2 linked regions of the Diceros bicornis minor genome follow. The protein of the gene in region 1 binds, or shares a complex with, the protein of each later gene. Links are inferred from orthologs where the notes say so. Each region holds a gene or a part of one and is shown on either strand. Other genes may lie near its edges. The genes, in order: SPAG5 and KNSTRN.

Evidence for each region.
Region 2: SPAG5 (region 1) and KNSTRN share a complex: the UniProt entries of both Homo sapiens proteins name them as parts of the astrin (SPAG5)-kinastrin (SKAP) complex. The link is inferred for Diceros bicornis minor from reciprocal best matches to the Homo sapiens genes SPAG5 and KNSTRN.

What each region holds. Positions count from the first base shown.
Region 1 is NC_080757.1:18,898,521-18,906,750, forward strand, and holds the start of SPAG5 (sperm-associated antigen 5), read left to right. Parts: upstream 1-4,876; 5' UTR 4,877-4,938; coding exon 4,939-4,989; intron 4,990-5,239; coding exon 5,240-5,365; intron 5,366-8,230. UniProt on the Homo sapiens protein: Essential component of the mitotic spindle required for normal chromosome segregation and progression into anaphase. Required for chromosome alignment, normal timing of sister chromatid segregation, and maintenance of spindle pole architecture.
Region 2 is NC_080744.1:38,258,870-38,267,445, forward strand, and holds the start of KNSTRN (small kinetochore-associated protein), read left to right. Parts: upstream 1-4,747; coding exon 4,748-4,956; intron 4,957-5,137; coding exon 5,138-5,232; intron 5,233-8,342; coding exon 8,343-8,475; intron 8,476-8,576. UniProt on the Homo sapiens protein: Essential component of the mitotic spindle required for faithful chromosome segregation and progression into anaphase.

The sequences.
Region 1 (8,230 bases):
TGATACACTACAGCAGCAATTCTCAGGGTAGACTGGAAGGTGTGATAGAAAATAGAAGTTTCAGAAAGTATAATTTGGAAAAGCACTGCCCCCACCCCCTGTTTTGTTATGCTCATCCCTGTTCATTTGTTCACTTGACTTAAACTGGTAATCTCAGTTCCTTGGTTACTCAGTTCTTAAATAGAGTCTTCAATGTAAAACTGTTGTCAAAGCTTTTTAAAAAAAATTAAATAAAAGCACATTCATTGCATTATCAACCCGTTATGGGCTGAATCCTGCCCCGCACAATTGATATGTTCAAGTCCTAACCCCAGTACTTCAGAATGTGACTGTGTTTGGAGATAGGGTCTTTAAAGATATAAGTAAGTTAGGGCTGGCCCCGTGGCTTAGTGGTTAAGTGCATGCACTCCGCAACTGATGGCCCGGGTTCGGATCCCAGGCGCGCACTGACGCACCACTTGTCCGGCCATGCTGAGGCCGCGTCCCACATACAGCAACTAGAAGGATGTGCAACTATGACATACCACTATCTACTGGGGCTTTGGAGAAAAAAAAAAAAAAAACGGGAGGAAGATTGGCAATAGATGTTAGCTTAGAGCCGGTCTTCCTCAGCAAAAAGAGGAGGATTAGCATGGATGTTAGCTCAGGGCTGATCTTCCTCACACACACACACAAAAAAGATATAAGTTAAAATGAGGTCATATGGGTGGGCCCTAATCCAGTATGATTGGTGTCCTTATAAAGGCACCCTTATAAAGACACCCACAGAGGGAAGACCATGTGAAGCTACAGGGAGAAGACAGTCTCTACAAGCCAAGGAGAGAGGCCTCAGAAGTAACCAACCCTGCTGACATGTTGATCTCGGACTTCTAGCCTTTTGTGAGTTGTGAGAAAATAAATTTCTGTTATTTAAGCCACCCAGTCTATGGTACTTTGTTATGGCAGCCCTCGCAAACTAATACAACCCCTATGAAGAGTTCTAATAGATTAATCAGGAATGATTATTTATTTACAAAAATGCATGCTATCTTCTTCCCTATAGGTTGGTTTTGCTTATATTCTGAGAACATGTAATTATTTTAGATTTCATTGGCCTCTCTATGAGTTTTGCTGGTTTACAGAGCTCCACTGATTAGCTGCTGTCACACTGCCTCCTTTGTTCAGTACTTCATCATACACAGTAGCAGGTCTAGTAATTCCAGTTTCATCCTTGAGTTCACTCAGCTGCCTGGTGGATACTTCTCAGAGTTGCTGATTTGGGTTATGTAATTTGATTTTCATAAAATAAGTAATCTCTAATCAGAAAATTTAAAAACTACAATTGCTTTTAAGTAGTTGGACCCCTACTTCATATCATATACAAAACTTAATTCCAGATACATTAAGGATTTAAATGTGATCATCAAAACATTAAATACCTTAGAAGAACATTTGGGAGACTAGACCTACAATCAAGGGATGGAGGAGATACCTAAACTAAGACAGAAAATGAAAGCACTATAAAAGAAAAAGAAAAACATTTACATAAAAATTTGATGAATGAATAACTCAATCAGATAAGATCCAAATGCTCTAAAACGAAAGATAAACATCTTGACTACATAAAAGTTTTATCTTTGTATGGCCAAAGATATCATTAATAAAGTCAACAGACAAAAAATAGATCTAAAAAATTCTGCAGTGTGATGACAGTTAATGTCTATAACACAGAACTCTTACAAATTAGAAAAGAGAAGTAACATTTTTTTAAAAAGGGCAAGGAATAAGAAATGACCAATCAATTAATTAGATCTATATCAGTTGACTTAGAAGACTCTATACTAGACAGTGAGGAAAAAAATGCAGAAGTGTAAGAAATAATGCCATTTTTGTAAAGGACTCAATACCTTCTTCCCCTCCCTTGTGTGTGTATGAGAGAGAGAGGGAGGGAGGGAAAGAGGGAGGGAGGGAGAGAATGCGCAAGAATGTGAAAAAGGGAACCTGGAAGGGAGAGAGGAGTAATGCAAGTGGAAAGAGAAGAGAAAAAAAGAAAGGCATGAGCCCTCAATCCCAGAGACCCCAGGCTGCACATCAGTTAATTTTTGGGAAAAACAAATATGTGTGTGTAAATGAAGACAAAACCTGTGTGAATGCATATATGTTTTTATAAAGGTATACACACTATTGGTTACCTCAGGCAGGTAGAATGAATGGGGGAGGCTGTGCCTTTAATACATCTTTGCATTGAATTGTTTCTCTTGCTATAACAAGCATCTATTATTTTTACAATTTGAAAAACACCAAATTAAAAAAATTATTATCCAAACAACACCAACAAACCAATTCTGTTTATGTTACCTATTTACAATGGTATTTTCCCTCTTATCTACCCCTCCATCTCTCTCCTAATTTGCTGGCATCTGACATACCAACTGCAACAAGGACTAAGCAGTCCAATTTACACATTTCTATAATACAAGCTAATACAATACTACTGGCACTTAAGAGTTTTCTGTCTTGGTTTTTGTGCCACTTGCTACCCTTGTTTTCTTTTTTTTTTTTTTTAAGATTTTATTTATTCATTTTTTTCCCCCCAAAGCCCCAGTAGATAGTTGTATGTCATAGGTTCACATACTTCTAGTTGCTGTACATGGGACTCGGCCTCGGGTTGGTCGGAGAAGTGGTGCCTTGGGGCGTGCCCGGGATCTGAACCCGGGCCGCCAGCATCAGAGCGCGCGCACTTAACCGCTAAGCCACGGAGCCGGCCCTACCCTTGTTTTCTTTGCTGGATCTTTTCGATTGGCCAGAAGTATACATACCTTGGGATTCCCTCTGCTGAGTCCTGGGCAATCCCAGACTCAAGTTTGTGCTCTTATGTTGTCTTTCTCCCAGTTTTCCATTCAGGCAACTGTTCTCTCTAGTGCCCTGAGGCTGGGACCTTTTTTTTTTTTTTTTTGTGAGGAAGACTGGCCCTGGGCTAACATCCGTGCCCATCTTCCTCCACTTTATATGGGACACCGCCACAGCATGGCTTGACAAGCGGTGCATCGGTGCGTGCCTGGGATCCAAACCTGGGAACCCCAGGCTGCCGCAGCGGAGTGCACGCACTTAACCACTTGTGCCACCGGGCCGGCCTGGACCATTGTTTTTAGAGCTGTGCTGTACAATAGAAATATAATGTAAACCTCATAAGTAATTTTAAATTTGCTAGTAGCCACATTAAAAAGGTAAAAAGAAATGGGTTAAATTAATTTTAATGTATTTTATTTAATCCAGTATATCTAAAATATCTTTCAACATGTAATCGATATTAATTTTTTTTTTTGCTGAGGAAGATTCACCCTGCACTAACATCTGTTGCCCATCTTCCTCTTTTTGCTGAGGAAGATTGGCCCTGAGCTAACATCCCTACCCATCGTCCTCCATTTTTATGTGGGACACTGCCACAGCATGGCTTGATGGGCAGTGCATCCCTCCATGCCTGGGATTTGAACCGTGAACTCAGGGCCACCAAGGTGGAGTGTGTGAACTTAACCACTACTCCACCAGGCCGGCCCCTCTTCCTCTGTGTTGTATGTGGGTGACTGTCACAGCATGGCTGATGAGTGATGTAGGTCCGCACCCCTGATCGGAACCAGGAATCCCTGGCGGTTGAAGCAAAGCATGCCAAACAACCACTACGCCAGGGGGCTGGCCCTAATCAATATTAAAAAATAAGATATTTTACTTTTTCCATACAAAGACTTTGAAATCTAGTTTACGTTTTACACCTATAATTCATCTCAATTGGGACTAGCCACATGTGGCCAGTGGCTGAGGTATTGGACAACACAGTTTCTAGAGGAGCCCATCCCCTGAGGGCCCTACAGTTCATAACAGATTACAGTTCCTCCTCTTGGGATTATTGCCTTTTCCAAACTCATTAAGACTTCAGAGTGTAAATAAGATGCTGAATGTTCAAAGGAACACATTTCATCATAAACTATAACTGTGAATACTTACCTTTAGGCTGTTTCCAAAAATCAATCAGTTTCCTCTTAAATAGCTAGATTTCCCATACAGAGGGGACTGAAGCGACAGTAGAATGCAGTAGTTCGTAGTGTGGGTTGGCATCTTGCCTCTGCCATTTACTCCCTGCGGGGCATTGGGCAAATTACATTATCTATGGTTCAGTTCCTTCGTCTGTAAAATGGGGATATTTATAGTACCTACTTCGTAGGTCCTTACGAGGATTAAAGGAGTTAATATCGATAAAGCATTTGGAACAGTGCCAGGTACCTAATAAATGTGCGATACCCGTTAGCTATTGTTCCAGTAAACTTGTTGCAGGCCCCAAGGTAAGTCCCAAGAACACGCTAAAAATTCTGAAGAGGCTAAATTACAGCGCAGGTTGAGAACTACGTCTCAGGCCCTCACCAACGCAGGACCTGTGCGCGAACCGACCAAGCCTAAGGAAAAAAGGCTACACTCACCTTTCCTTTCCGGACTACCCGGCCCGCTCTTTCTGGTCAAGGCTGCGGCGCGAGGTAACTAAGAGACACCGGAGAAGAGACTTCCTGAGGCCAGGCCACGAAGACCACTTTTCTGTCAGGGCGTGAGGGTGGTCTCCTGGAAGCAGGAGGGATGGATTCCATGACTCTCCTGCTGCTTGGGTACCGTCCCCGAAGTGAGGCCATAAGACTGGCCTCGGGCTTGCGGCACGTCGCCCCTCCTGCCCGTGTCTTTGGTACGGGATCCGCAGAGACCGCGCGCGAACCGCGGTCCGGGGCGGGGGCGTGGCCAATGCAGGCCCCGCCCCCTCACCCGCCGTGTTCGAGCCCGGAGCAAACACGCTAGGCCGACGCACTGAGGCTCCGCAGCCAATCGGGAAGCGCGGAGCAGGTTCAAATTCAGACGGCGGGTGAACATGGCGTCACCCCTTGGGTCTGGGAGGAGATCGGGCTGCGTTTTGTGTTGAAGATGAGGCGGGTGAAAACACTGAACGTTAGCCTGTCGCCTTCGCCTCAGCCGGTGAGTGGGAGAGCCTCATGGAGAGAGAGCTGGGCCGAGGCTTCCGGGGCGGGGGCGCTGGCAGTGCCGAGTGTGCTGGAAAGCTGGGTCGAGCCTGGGGGCGGGGGCGTGTGGAGTCTTTTGTTGGTCCAGACGCTTCAGCGCGACTGGCGTCGAAGCCTACTCTTCTTAGTGCCCTATGGGCTTCTTAGGGAGGGAGGAAGGGCGGGCTGGCAGAGCCAGGCTTTCTTACACTCTCTTTCTTTCTCAGGGAAAACCAGCTGTGAGAACTCCCCTCCGAGAACTTACCCTGCAGCCCGATGCCCTCACCAACTCTGGAAAAGGGGCCCCGATATGCTGCTCGCTGACTCCATCACTGTGCAAACTGGGGCTGCAGGTGAGATTCGACTGCCCAGCTTCTCGACTGGGCTCTTTGCCGAGGCCAAGAGCTCAGAGGAATAGAGGACCCGGGCTGGAACGTAATTAATAACAATAATGAAGTCTTCTACCTCAGTGACATCCATTTACAGCTATTCAGGCCAACAGAGAGGTGCCCTAGGGTGGTTAAAGGAAATCCGCTGAGAACCCAGACCTCTATTTAGATGTTAGTTTTTATCACCTCCTCCCCCATTCAGTCTTTACTGAACTACTGAGAAATACTATCACTTTGATTAGGGGTCTCCCTCTAATATGGGCTCACTTATGGAGAGGTCAGTCAGCTGCAAGAGTGAGGCAATGTCCATCCATTCCAAGAGAGAGTCAAAACTCTCCTGGGATCAAGTTACACCACTGGAAGGCAGAGCACTTGGACCATCTTTGTTTATTTTTATTTATTTATTTTTTAAGTTTATTTTTATTTATTATTTTTTTGTGTGAGGAAGATCGGCCCTGAGCTAACATCTGCCAATCCTCCTCTTTTTGCTGAGGAAGAGTGGCCCTGGGCTAACATCCGTGCCCATCTTCCTCCACTTTATATGGGATGCCGCCACAGCATGGCCTGACAAGTGGTGCGTTGGTGTGTGCCCAGGATCGGAACCGGCGAACCCTGGGCCGCTGCAGCAGAGCATGCGCACTTAACCGCTTGCGCCACCTGGCCGGCCCGGACCATCTTTGTTTAAACTAGCCCCTTGTAGAATTGCCCTCACTGAATTGTACTTTTGTCAAAGGTCTTGAGAGAAGTTGCCATGTAGAAACTGCTTTTCACTTGCTGTAAAACTTGTCAAGGAAGGCGAGTGACCCCTCTATAAGGTTCCTCGAAGAAATTTCCTTTAGGGGCGGGCCAGTGGCGTAGTGGTTAAGTTTGCACACTCCACTTCTGTGGCCCAGGGTTCGCTGCCCGGATCCCTGGTGAGGACCTACACACCACACATCAAGCCATGCTATGGCGGCGTCCCATATACAAAATAGAGGAAGATTGGCACAGATATTAGCTCAGCGACAATCTGCCACAAGCAAAAAGAAGAAGATTAGCTACAGATGTTAGCTCAGGGCCAATCTTCCTTACCCCCCCAAAAAAAAAAATTTAAAAAAGAAATTTCCTTTAGAACTTACTGCCTGGGAAAATTCTGAAGAAATTGCTTTGTTTTTCTCTTTCTGATAGTGACAACTATGTAGTTTACTACATTTTACATTTTCCCTCTTGAACTGGCTTCTAGAAAGCTCAGGGTCAAATTTGATCATCAGGTATAACTACTGCTACTCCCTGAAATAGGAAGATTTTCTTCCTTTTTCTTTTTCTTTTTGTATTTCTTTAACCTGATGTATCCATCTATCTGTTCTTTTTCATGCAGTCTGAATTATTTTTGGAAGGAGAGGGGACATAAATAAAATAGGTTAGAGGAAGAAAGAATAAAAGCACATGGCAGCCTGAGTAACAGATGTATGAGAGTAGCAGTCTTTCTGTTTTTTTTACTGTGAGGAAGATCAGCCCTGAGCTAACATCCATGCCAATCCTCCTCTTTTTGCTGAGGAAGACTGGCCCTGGGCTAACATCTGTGCCCATCTTCCTCCACTTTATATGGGAGGCCGCCACAGCATGGCCTGACAAGTAGTGCATTGGTGCACCCCTGGGATCTGAACCCGGGCCGCCAGCAGCAGAGCGCGTGCACTTAACCGCTATGCCACAGGGCCAGCCCTGGAGCAGTCTTTCTTGAAAGAGCTCTAACACCAACTGTCCAATAGAACTTTCTGGGATGATGGAAATGTTTGATAATCTGTGCTGTCCAATATGGTAGCTATTAGTTAACATGGCTACTCAGCACTTGAAAGGTGGCTAATGTGACTGAGGTACTAAATTTTAAGTTTTATTTAATTTTAATTTAGATAGCCAAAAGTGGCTAGTGGCAACTATATTAGTACAGCTTAGGTAGAAAAGAAGTAAGTACTAAGTGGGAACTGATCTTCATAGAGCCTATAGAATTTAACCACAGCCATTTAATCACAGTAGCAAAATAGACTTCAATTTAGGTCTCCCTACTCTTAACTGGAGGGCTTGTTACCTCCTGATATAGTCGGCAATATAGACGAAGTTTTTTCCCCCCAAAAAATAACTTTTTTTTTTACTTTTTAAAACGTGATTATTTTTATCTTAGATGTTCATTGTTTGAAATATTTGAACGATGTGTAAATATAAGGATGAAAATGTTTCTGCCATTTTAGATAACTATCATATTTGAAAATCCTTTCTTGCATCTCTTTATGTGTATCTATCTGTGTGTATATGTTTATATACACACATATCCATAGATTATCATATTACTTTTTTATCAGGTCAATTTTTTTTCCCTTTTCTCTCTCCTCTCTTTCCCTTTTTTTTTGGCTTAGCTCCACTTTTCCTCTCTCTTTTGCCCCTCCTCTGGAATTAATCCCTCCCACACGTGCCCTGCTCTTCCCAAGAAACCAATCCATTTTAACATCCTAATGTGTATACTTCCATATTTTTCTCTGTGTTCTTTTAATAATATGCAAACATGCATAATTATTTTACTGATAGGATCACAATATACAGTCAGTTCTCATTATTTGTAGTACATATGTTCTATAAAGTCTCTGTGAACACTTACTTAGCAAATACTGAACTGCTGCTCATAGGGGAAATACAGGATTATATTCCTGCAAGCTTCTGATCAAACATTTTCATTAACCAATCAATACATGGTCTTATTTTATGTGTATATTCCTGTTTAAAAACACCTTATTTTTATATATATTGTTGATTCATTAACATTGAACTTAATCAACAATGTTCATGCTTGAATGAAGT
Region 2 (8,576 bases), on another chromosome or scaffold:
AGTATTGCTGAAGAAACTCACACACTGGGCAGATTGATGTAGATCTGAATTCATGACCACCAACTCAACTGGACCTCAGCCCTGCCTAGCTAGTTTCTGTTCTAGTTACTGCTTTCCATTCTTTGTAATGACCATTTTACACTCTCTCTACCTTCCTCAAACATCTGATGCCCTCCACCTCCCTGCACCCCAGTTTCAGTAGACAAAAAATTCATTCTTCATAAAGAAAACTGGAGGCGTCAGATAGACATTTCCTCACTTTCAAGGCATCAAGTCCCTAACTTACCTATCTCTGCTCCTGCCTGCTTCTCTCCCCATCCCTTCTATTAAAATGAAGGAAGCAGTAATGGCTCCATCAATGGCTTCACACACTTTGCATCAGAGGCTTTCAAACTAGGGCTTGCATTCCCACAGGAACATGAACACTTTCTAGAAGGTAGGTGGATACAGATAATTTTAAGGGAATCAATTTCCAGAGCTTCCTCCTTCATATGGTCCATCTCCTCGTATTGATCAGCCTAAGAAGGAGCCTTAGGTCAGCCAGTTCTCCTTCCTGACCTCCACTTTCCCAGTTGACCCCCTCCTTCATTCTGAATCCTATTCTGGCGCCTCACTCTGCAGTATAAAAAAACAATAAAAGAACTACTTGAGAATGCTCTGCTTGAGGAAGTCCTTGAGACAGCAAAGCCTAGAGAGCTTTTATGAGAAGTTGCAAAGGGGCAGCCCTGTAGCTCAGTTCTGTGCCTTTTCCATTTAAGAATTCAAATTCAAAAGTAAGAGGTTGATACAGGATAATAACCTGTATAATAACCACACTTATTTGAATTGAAAAACAAAATCATACTTTTTCTGATGGAAAGTCAATCTGATTTGGCTGATGGGTTTGACAGGACTAGCTTTGCAAATAGGATATATGGTGGACATTTTCCCAGAATGGAATAATTTAAATCTGCGGCTCCATGGTTTGAAGAAAAATACATTTATTTTATTTTATTATTTTTTCCCCCAAAGCCCCATTAGATAGTCGTATGTCATAGTTGCACAGCCTTCTAGTTGCTGTATGTGGGACGCGGCCTCAGCATGGCCAGAGAAGCGATGCCTCAGTGCAAACCTGGGATCCGAACCCGGGCCGCCAGCAGTGGAGCGCGTGCTCTTAACTGCTAAGCCATGGGGCCGGCCTGAAAAATACATTTAATATACACATACAACTTCCCCTTCCAGCCAAGATGGAGTAGTAGGAACGAGATTTATCTTCTTTCCTGAAACAACCAACCCAACAGAAAAAAATATATGAGACAACAGTTTTCAACACTGGACATCAGACAACAAAGGACGGTGATCTCTTCTGGACAAGAAACAAATGAGATGAGCCTTGTGACAGCCCCAGCTTACTGCTTGAGAGAGTTTCTAGGACATACTACAGGGAGGCAGAACCCAGGCAGGGCCATGCAGACTCCCCGAGCTGAGGAGATAGCTCAGAGTCTGGGGCAACCAAGGTAGCTAGAGTGGTCAGGACAGAATACTGACTGAGAGGAGAAAGGTGCACAGAGAGAGAATTCTAGAGATCTGCAAATGGCCCCCCTGGAGTATTCAGCAGAGCACTGCTCAGCATATAAGTGTGAGGAAACTACTTGAGACCAAGGAAGGAACTACCCAAAATGACTAGAGGGAACAGTAGCCAGTAGTCACCTAGGGCTGGAACAGTGCCAGTTCCCATCAGCCACACTGGAGAACCTGATAATTTATGGAGCATTGGTTAGAGTTCTCAGAAGGAGCTTGCCTCTGTAGTGGGAACTCATTAGCCCTAGTTTAAACACTGCTGGCTCCCACGTAACAAATCTCAAAAGCAAGACCTGAAAAGATGAAACTGTTCCTAAGTATTGTAACTGCATCCCAGAACAAACCTCAAGAACATTTACAGGAATGCAAAAATAACCAGCGCCCAAAAATGTAAAAAATTCACAATGTCTGGGGTCTAATAAAAAAATTACCTGTCATGCAAAGAAGCAGAAAAATATGACCCATAGTGAGGAGGAAAATCAATTGACACCAACCCAGAACTGATACCTATGTGAGAATTAGCAAGCAAGGACATCAAAACAGTTATCATAATTGTATTCCATATGTTCACATAGCTAAGTAGAGACTTGGAAGATATAAAAAAAAAAAAACAAAATTGAACTTGTGAATGAAAACTAAAATGTCTGAGATGAAAAATCACTGGATGGAATTAACAACAGTTTAGACACTACAGAAAAAAAAGATTAGTGAACTTGAACTTGAGCTAGCAATAGAAATTATCCAAAATGAAACACTAAAAGAAAAAAGAATTTTAGAAACAAAGAGCATGAACAACATATAATAGGTAGAAGGTATGTCCTTTACAAATATTTAAAATTGAAAAAATTTAGGGGGCCGGCCCCGTGGCTTAGCGGTTAAGTGCGCACGCTCCGCTACTGGTGGCCCGGGGTTCGGATCCCGGGCGTGCACCAAGGCACCGCTTCTCCGGCCATGCTGAGGTGGCGTCCCACATACAGCAACTAGAAGGATGTGCAACGATGACATACAAGTATCTACTGGGGCTTTGGGGAAAAAGAAAAAATTTAGGCATCAACTAAAAATAGGTAAGATGATTGTTTTTTTAAGTTATTTTGTGGAGGTACATGAATAAGAGTTTGAAGTTGCTGCTCTAGATCCCGTCTTCCTTTCTCCTTTCTCTATGACTTTGCTCCTGTGATCATCCCATCTCCCCATGAAATATCCTTTTCTTCCTCTCAGCATATGTACCAACTAGTATCTGCATCTTCAAGAAAACCCTTCTTTGACTGCCACAACCCACCTCCAGTTACCACCCAACTACTCTACTCCATTCACAAACTCTGTCTTCACTTGCCATCTCTGCTGCCTCATCTCTCCTGTACTCTGTGACCTGTACTACCGTGATTCCACTCAAACCTCTCCACCAGAATTCCTCTTCCTGTACTCACCAATGACTTCTTTGTTGTTAAATTAAATAGATCCTTTATAGTTCTGATCTTGCTTGCCCTTTCAGTTATTTTCAATAGTTTACCACTCCCTCCTTCAGCAGTTTACGACTTCCTCCTTCTTAGCTTCTAGGATACCACCCATTTTTTTTTCTTCTCACCTCTCTGGCACCTCTTTATCAGGTTTCTTGGCTGGCACCTTCTTATCATTGCAGCTTCTACATGCTGCTCTCCCTGTCCTTGGCCCTAAGGCTCTCTGTACACTTCTTCCTTTGATGATCTCATTCAATATCGCAGCTTTAAATACATCCATATACTCATGACTCCCAAGAGAATATCTCCCACCTAGACTCACCTCTGGGCTCAAAGACTATATTTCCAGCTGCCTACTTGACAGCTCCACTTGAATATCTCAGAGGCATTTCAAGCTTACCATGTTCAAAACTGAACTCTCAATCTCCCCCCAAGACAAAATAGTGACTCTATCCACACAATTATTCAAGCCTGGGAGTCGTCCTTAAGATCACCCTCTCCCTTACCCCTTTACCCCCCACATCCAATCTAGCACTGGGTCCTGAGATTCTACCTCCAAAAGCTGTCTTAAATTTGTCTGCTTCTCTACATCTCCACTACTACCATCATGGCCAAACCACCATCATCTTTCACTTGAATGGTTACAGTGACCTCCCAACTGTCTCCCTTGTGCCACTCTTGCCCCCCTTCAATCCATTCTCCATGGAGTAGCCAGAGTGAGATTTTTAAAATATAAATTGAATAACACTGTCCTGCTCTAATACTTCAGTGACTTCCCATTACTCTTAAGATAAAATCTAATCTCTTTACTTTTGGCCTACAAAGGCTGCCATTTGATTTCTTCCAACTTTATCTAGACCACTCCTCCCATCTTTCAGTCCCTTCTAGGAAAAAAGCCCATTCCTACCTTGGGACTTTGCATTTCTCCCCCCTCCCCCATTGTTCATCCGATTAACTTCCACTCGTTCTTCATTAATCAATCATCATCTCAGATGTCTTCCCTGACTCCCCAATTTAAATTAGGTTTCCCTGCTTTTCTCTCTCACAGCACATTGTAGTTTTCCTTCAGAGTTTTACTACTGTTGGTAGATACATATTTATTCGGGATTTTTTCCCAGCTTAACTGAGATGTAATTGACAAGTTCGTGTGATTATTTTCCTAGACTGTAAATTCCAGGAGGGCAGACCCAAGGTCAGTCTTGATATTTGCTGCCTCGCCCACCATAAGCCCTCTTCGAGTAGTGCTCAATAGGTGCTCAATAAATATTTGCTGAGTGAAATGAATGAGTGCATTAAGTGCTTGAGAACTCTGCACTGCTGAGAACTCTGTTCGCTAGGAGTAGCTTTGAATCTCTGCTTAAAATCTAGATAAGAGTTATTAAAGTCAGGACTGCAGGTAGGTACCTCAGGTATTTCCGCCCACAGGCCCTCTTCAAACCCCACCTGCCACTCTCCACCCTGTAACATGTAGTTTCCTCCATCCAAATACCCTATGCTCCTGGAAATCAGGCATCATGCAATGTACCTAACAATCACAGACCAAATAAAGAGAAGGATTGTGACATGGATCTAAACGTGACCACGAGTGCGTCCCAAGCCCGAAATATGACGCCGGGGGCTCATAGCTCCATTCAGGCCGGCAAAGTGCACAACTCCCCTCCCCCGCCCAAAGCTGGGGGCTCGGACACCCATCGTCAAGAAGCTCCGGCTCGCTCGGCTGCTCGTACAGCATGGCAGCCCCCAAAGGCGTGGCCCACGGCAGTGCCTGCAGTACAAGATGGCCGCCTACAGGGTACGCACCGCACCCCCTTCCGCCCGGCCACCGGAAGTTTCTATTTGAAACCCAGGCGGCAGACCCGGCCGGCGGAGCGGCAGTTGCTGCAGAGCATCTTCCGAACCAGAGCGACGAGGGCTGCAGGCAGGAGCAGCAGGCGCCTGGGTTCGGCTCTCCCGGGGCGAGGGACTGAGCTGGGTGTGGGGGTCGGACGAGGTGGGCTGGGAATGGAGGATTTTCTCTCTCTCTCGAGTCCTCCCCGGAGTCGGGGCGCGCTCTCCCTGGGCCCTCCACCTGCCCGGACCCCTTGGCCCACCCTGGGTAACATTCACCTTGCACCTTCCAGGGCCCAGCCGTGCCGCCTCGTTACGATGACCAGCGTGGTTAAGACAGTGTACACCCTGCAGCCCCCCTCTGTGCTGAGCGGCGGCCTGCCGGCAGGTGGGTATCCACGCCGCCCTCCTCGGGCACTGGGGACCAGCCTGGGGCGGTCAGGCCGGGAATGGGGGGCGCGGGCAGAGGGAGGGCATTTCATCGGCTCTGACAACCCTCTAACTCCCCTAGAAGCGGGCTGTCTAGGTGTACGATGGGAGTTAGGGGAAGGGCCATGTGGTAGGATTTTAGACCTGCCCTGCACCCCTCCTCCCCCAAACCTAACCGTGCTGGATTCACCAATTAGATTTCGCTTGCTGATTCTTCTACAGTATTATTCCCATTAAGCTAGGAATCCCTTTTTAAACAGTTACCCCTTTTATTTCAAGACTTGGGCTATCTGGAGGGACTGGGTTTGTTGTCAGGGAGAAGAGAGGAGAGTCATTTGAGAAGGGGATACTAAGGGGGAAGCGCTAGGCTTCACACTGTGTGGTTCACATTTGATATGCACAGTGTCTCTTCTATAGTACATTCTCAGTAAATGTTGGTAGAGTGAAGTGAGAGAGAGGGGTCAGGCCTAGCTAGAGTATTCCAGAACCTTGGGAGAAGAGACATGATTAAAAAACATTTTTGATGGCTTTGCCATCTTGCTTTGTGTTACTTGGCTTGTGGTTGAAAGTCATCTCTTAGGGCCTTCAGTTGTGGAGCTGCCTAATCTAGAGATTATAGCACAGAATAAACTTCAAACATCAGAGCCTGTTGTGGGAGATTTTGAAGCAGCTATATAAGATCCCTTCCCAGGTGACTCCACGCAGCTGGTTGATGAGCAGGAGCAGGATTGGTCTGTAAAGTAAATAGACTTTTCTCCGAAGCCTTCAGGGGTTGTTCTGTTTGTCTTCTGTTGCCTCAGAGAACACCTGAATGGTAATCCTGGCCTCCAAGTTGCTGGGGGAATTGCATCCATGTCTCCTTCCACTGCCTTTCCCTCCGAGAGCAGTGCCCCTCTGTCAGGGGGGTATGACTGATGACTGGCTCTCCCCAGCCAAGTCGGAAGTTTTCGTCTCTTTGCTCTCTATCCCTGTCTTAGAGTTATGATAATATGTAACCTCAGTGGTTTGACATTCTTAGGCTGTATCCCAGGTTTTTTATTTTGATTTTGAGCATGGGTTAGTTGTTTTTAAGTTTTAGTTTTTTGACTAACATATGCACATTTAAAAAAAAATCCAAAGTTAGAAAATGATATGCAGGGAAAAACAAGTCTCCTGCCTTCCTTGACACCAGGCATCCAATTCCCCTCCCTAGGGTCTCTTTTTTTTTTCTTTTGGTGAGGAAGACTGGCCCTAAGCTAACATCTGTGCCAGTCTTCCTCTGTTTTGTATGTGGGATGTGGCCACAGCATAGGTTGATGAGCAGTGTGTAGATCTGCGCCTGGGATCCTGGCCCCGCGAACCCTGTGCTGCCAAAGCAAAGCGTGCGAACTTAACCACTACACCACTGGGCTGGCCCCTGCATTTCTCATTTTAAGAAGACGGGGCCAGCCCTGTGGCTTAGTGGTTAAGTTCCCATCCTCCGCTTCGGCAGCCCGGGGTTCGCCGGTTCGGGTCCCAGGCATGGACCTACGCACCACTTATCAAGCCGTGCTGTGGCGGCCTCCCACATAAAGTAAACGAAGAACGAGGATGGGCACTGATGTGAGCTCAGGGCCACTCTTCCTCAGCAAAAACAGGGGGATTGGCAGTGGATGTTAGCTCAGGGCTAATCTTCCTCACAAACACATGCAAAAAAAAAGACAGTGTTTGTTAAATTCTGCTAAATTTTTCCTACAATGCAGTCTTTAAGTTCTAGCAAATATGGATTATTGGAACCAACTTCGATCAATGAAGAGTGTTAATTTTGATCAATTTTCTATTAACTCCTTTTTACATGGGGTAGATTTGTTATTGTGTATAACTTATTAATACTTGAGAGAGGAGAAGGTACATGCATTCCCCTAAGGTTACCTTTTGCTTCAGACAGAGACCTCAAAAAGAACCCTTTTAATATTTGCTTTGTGGGTAAGAGTATGGAAAATAGGGAGCAAGTGCCTGGTGAGTATACCTATAAATGAAATAATTTGTTAGCCTGAGAAATCATATTTATTCCAAACTGTCATGCAGCTAGAGTCATCAAAATTAAATCTTTATCAAATACAAAATTTCCTAATCCCTGTGATCCAGTGCTTTGGACCTCATTTCTTCAACCTGATTTAATTGTTAGGGCTTAATTGTGTGGCTCTTAGGTCAAGCTTAAACAAGCCATTTTACAATGAACAAGGTGAAAGCATCAACTAGAAAAGCGCATGGGTGTGGTGTGGTATGTGTAGTGGAGGGCTGGTGTAAGGGCTAGAGGGAAAATGCTCACCTCTGAGGAAGAGGAGTTTCATGGCAGGGCCATTTCTCTGGTTATCTGGCAATAGCCTAGCAGGAAGATCAGAACAGAGTGCCAAATAGGGAACCTTGAATAAACAAATTAAAAGGGCTGGTGGAAAGGTGATCAGCATGGAAAGGGGTAAGAAGACTAGAAGAGCTAGTTTAGAGATGGTCTGTGAAATAATCCATGGAGGTGTGTAGTGTTCCATATATTCAACAAGCAGTTTTGAACCTCTGTTAATATGCCAGGTACTCTACTAGGCACTGGGGACACAAAGACGTCTCTTAGAGGAGTTAGGGAGACAGTCTGGTCAAAACAACTAAGCAGCAGTTAAAAGAGAGACTCAAGCAGCTTGAGCGTAGCCTTAGGAGAGCGTGCAGAGTGCTTAGCATAGCAAGGTGGTTCCATTCCACTGGTGTTTGATGAAGGGTTCAGCTCTGTTTTGCCTTGCTGATGACCACACTGCTTTTTTTAGCTCTTTGCTTGTATCAATCTCCACTTTCACGTCTGTACCCTCTGGCCATTCAGTCTGATGTGTCATCAAGCTTTTGGCTACCTTCAAACACACTGCACTGTCACATTTAAAGAATTTGTGTTTCTATCTCCAATTAGCATAGAAGTCTTATTCTTCTGACTTAATCTTCACAAATTGAGATTGGCCAGAGTGAAAATACAGGTTTCTGACAACCTGGAATGGAGCTTTGTTTGTTACAGAGTTGCAGCTGTTGCGTCCTGATGCTTGAGGTTTCACTTCTTGTTTTCCTTTGCAGACATACAAACTCGAGCCACTTCTAAGAGCTTATTACCTGTTAAGTCCAAGGAAGTTGATGTTTCTAGATTTCTGCATTCGGGAGGTTCAGAGAATGATGTTACAAAAATCATCAAAACAAGACGAGAAAATGGGTGAGAGTCAGATCATTGGTATCCAATTAGAACATCTTGCTAGAAATTGCCCAGTGCCAAGAATTAGAAAATAGGGTTTTTGAGAGCACAAGGCTCCTGAA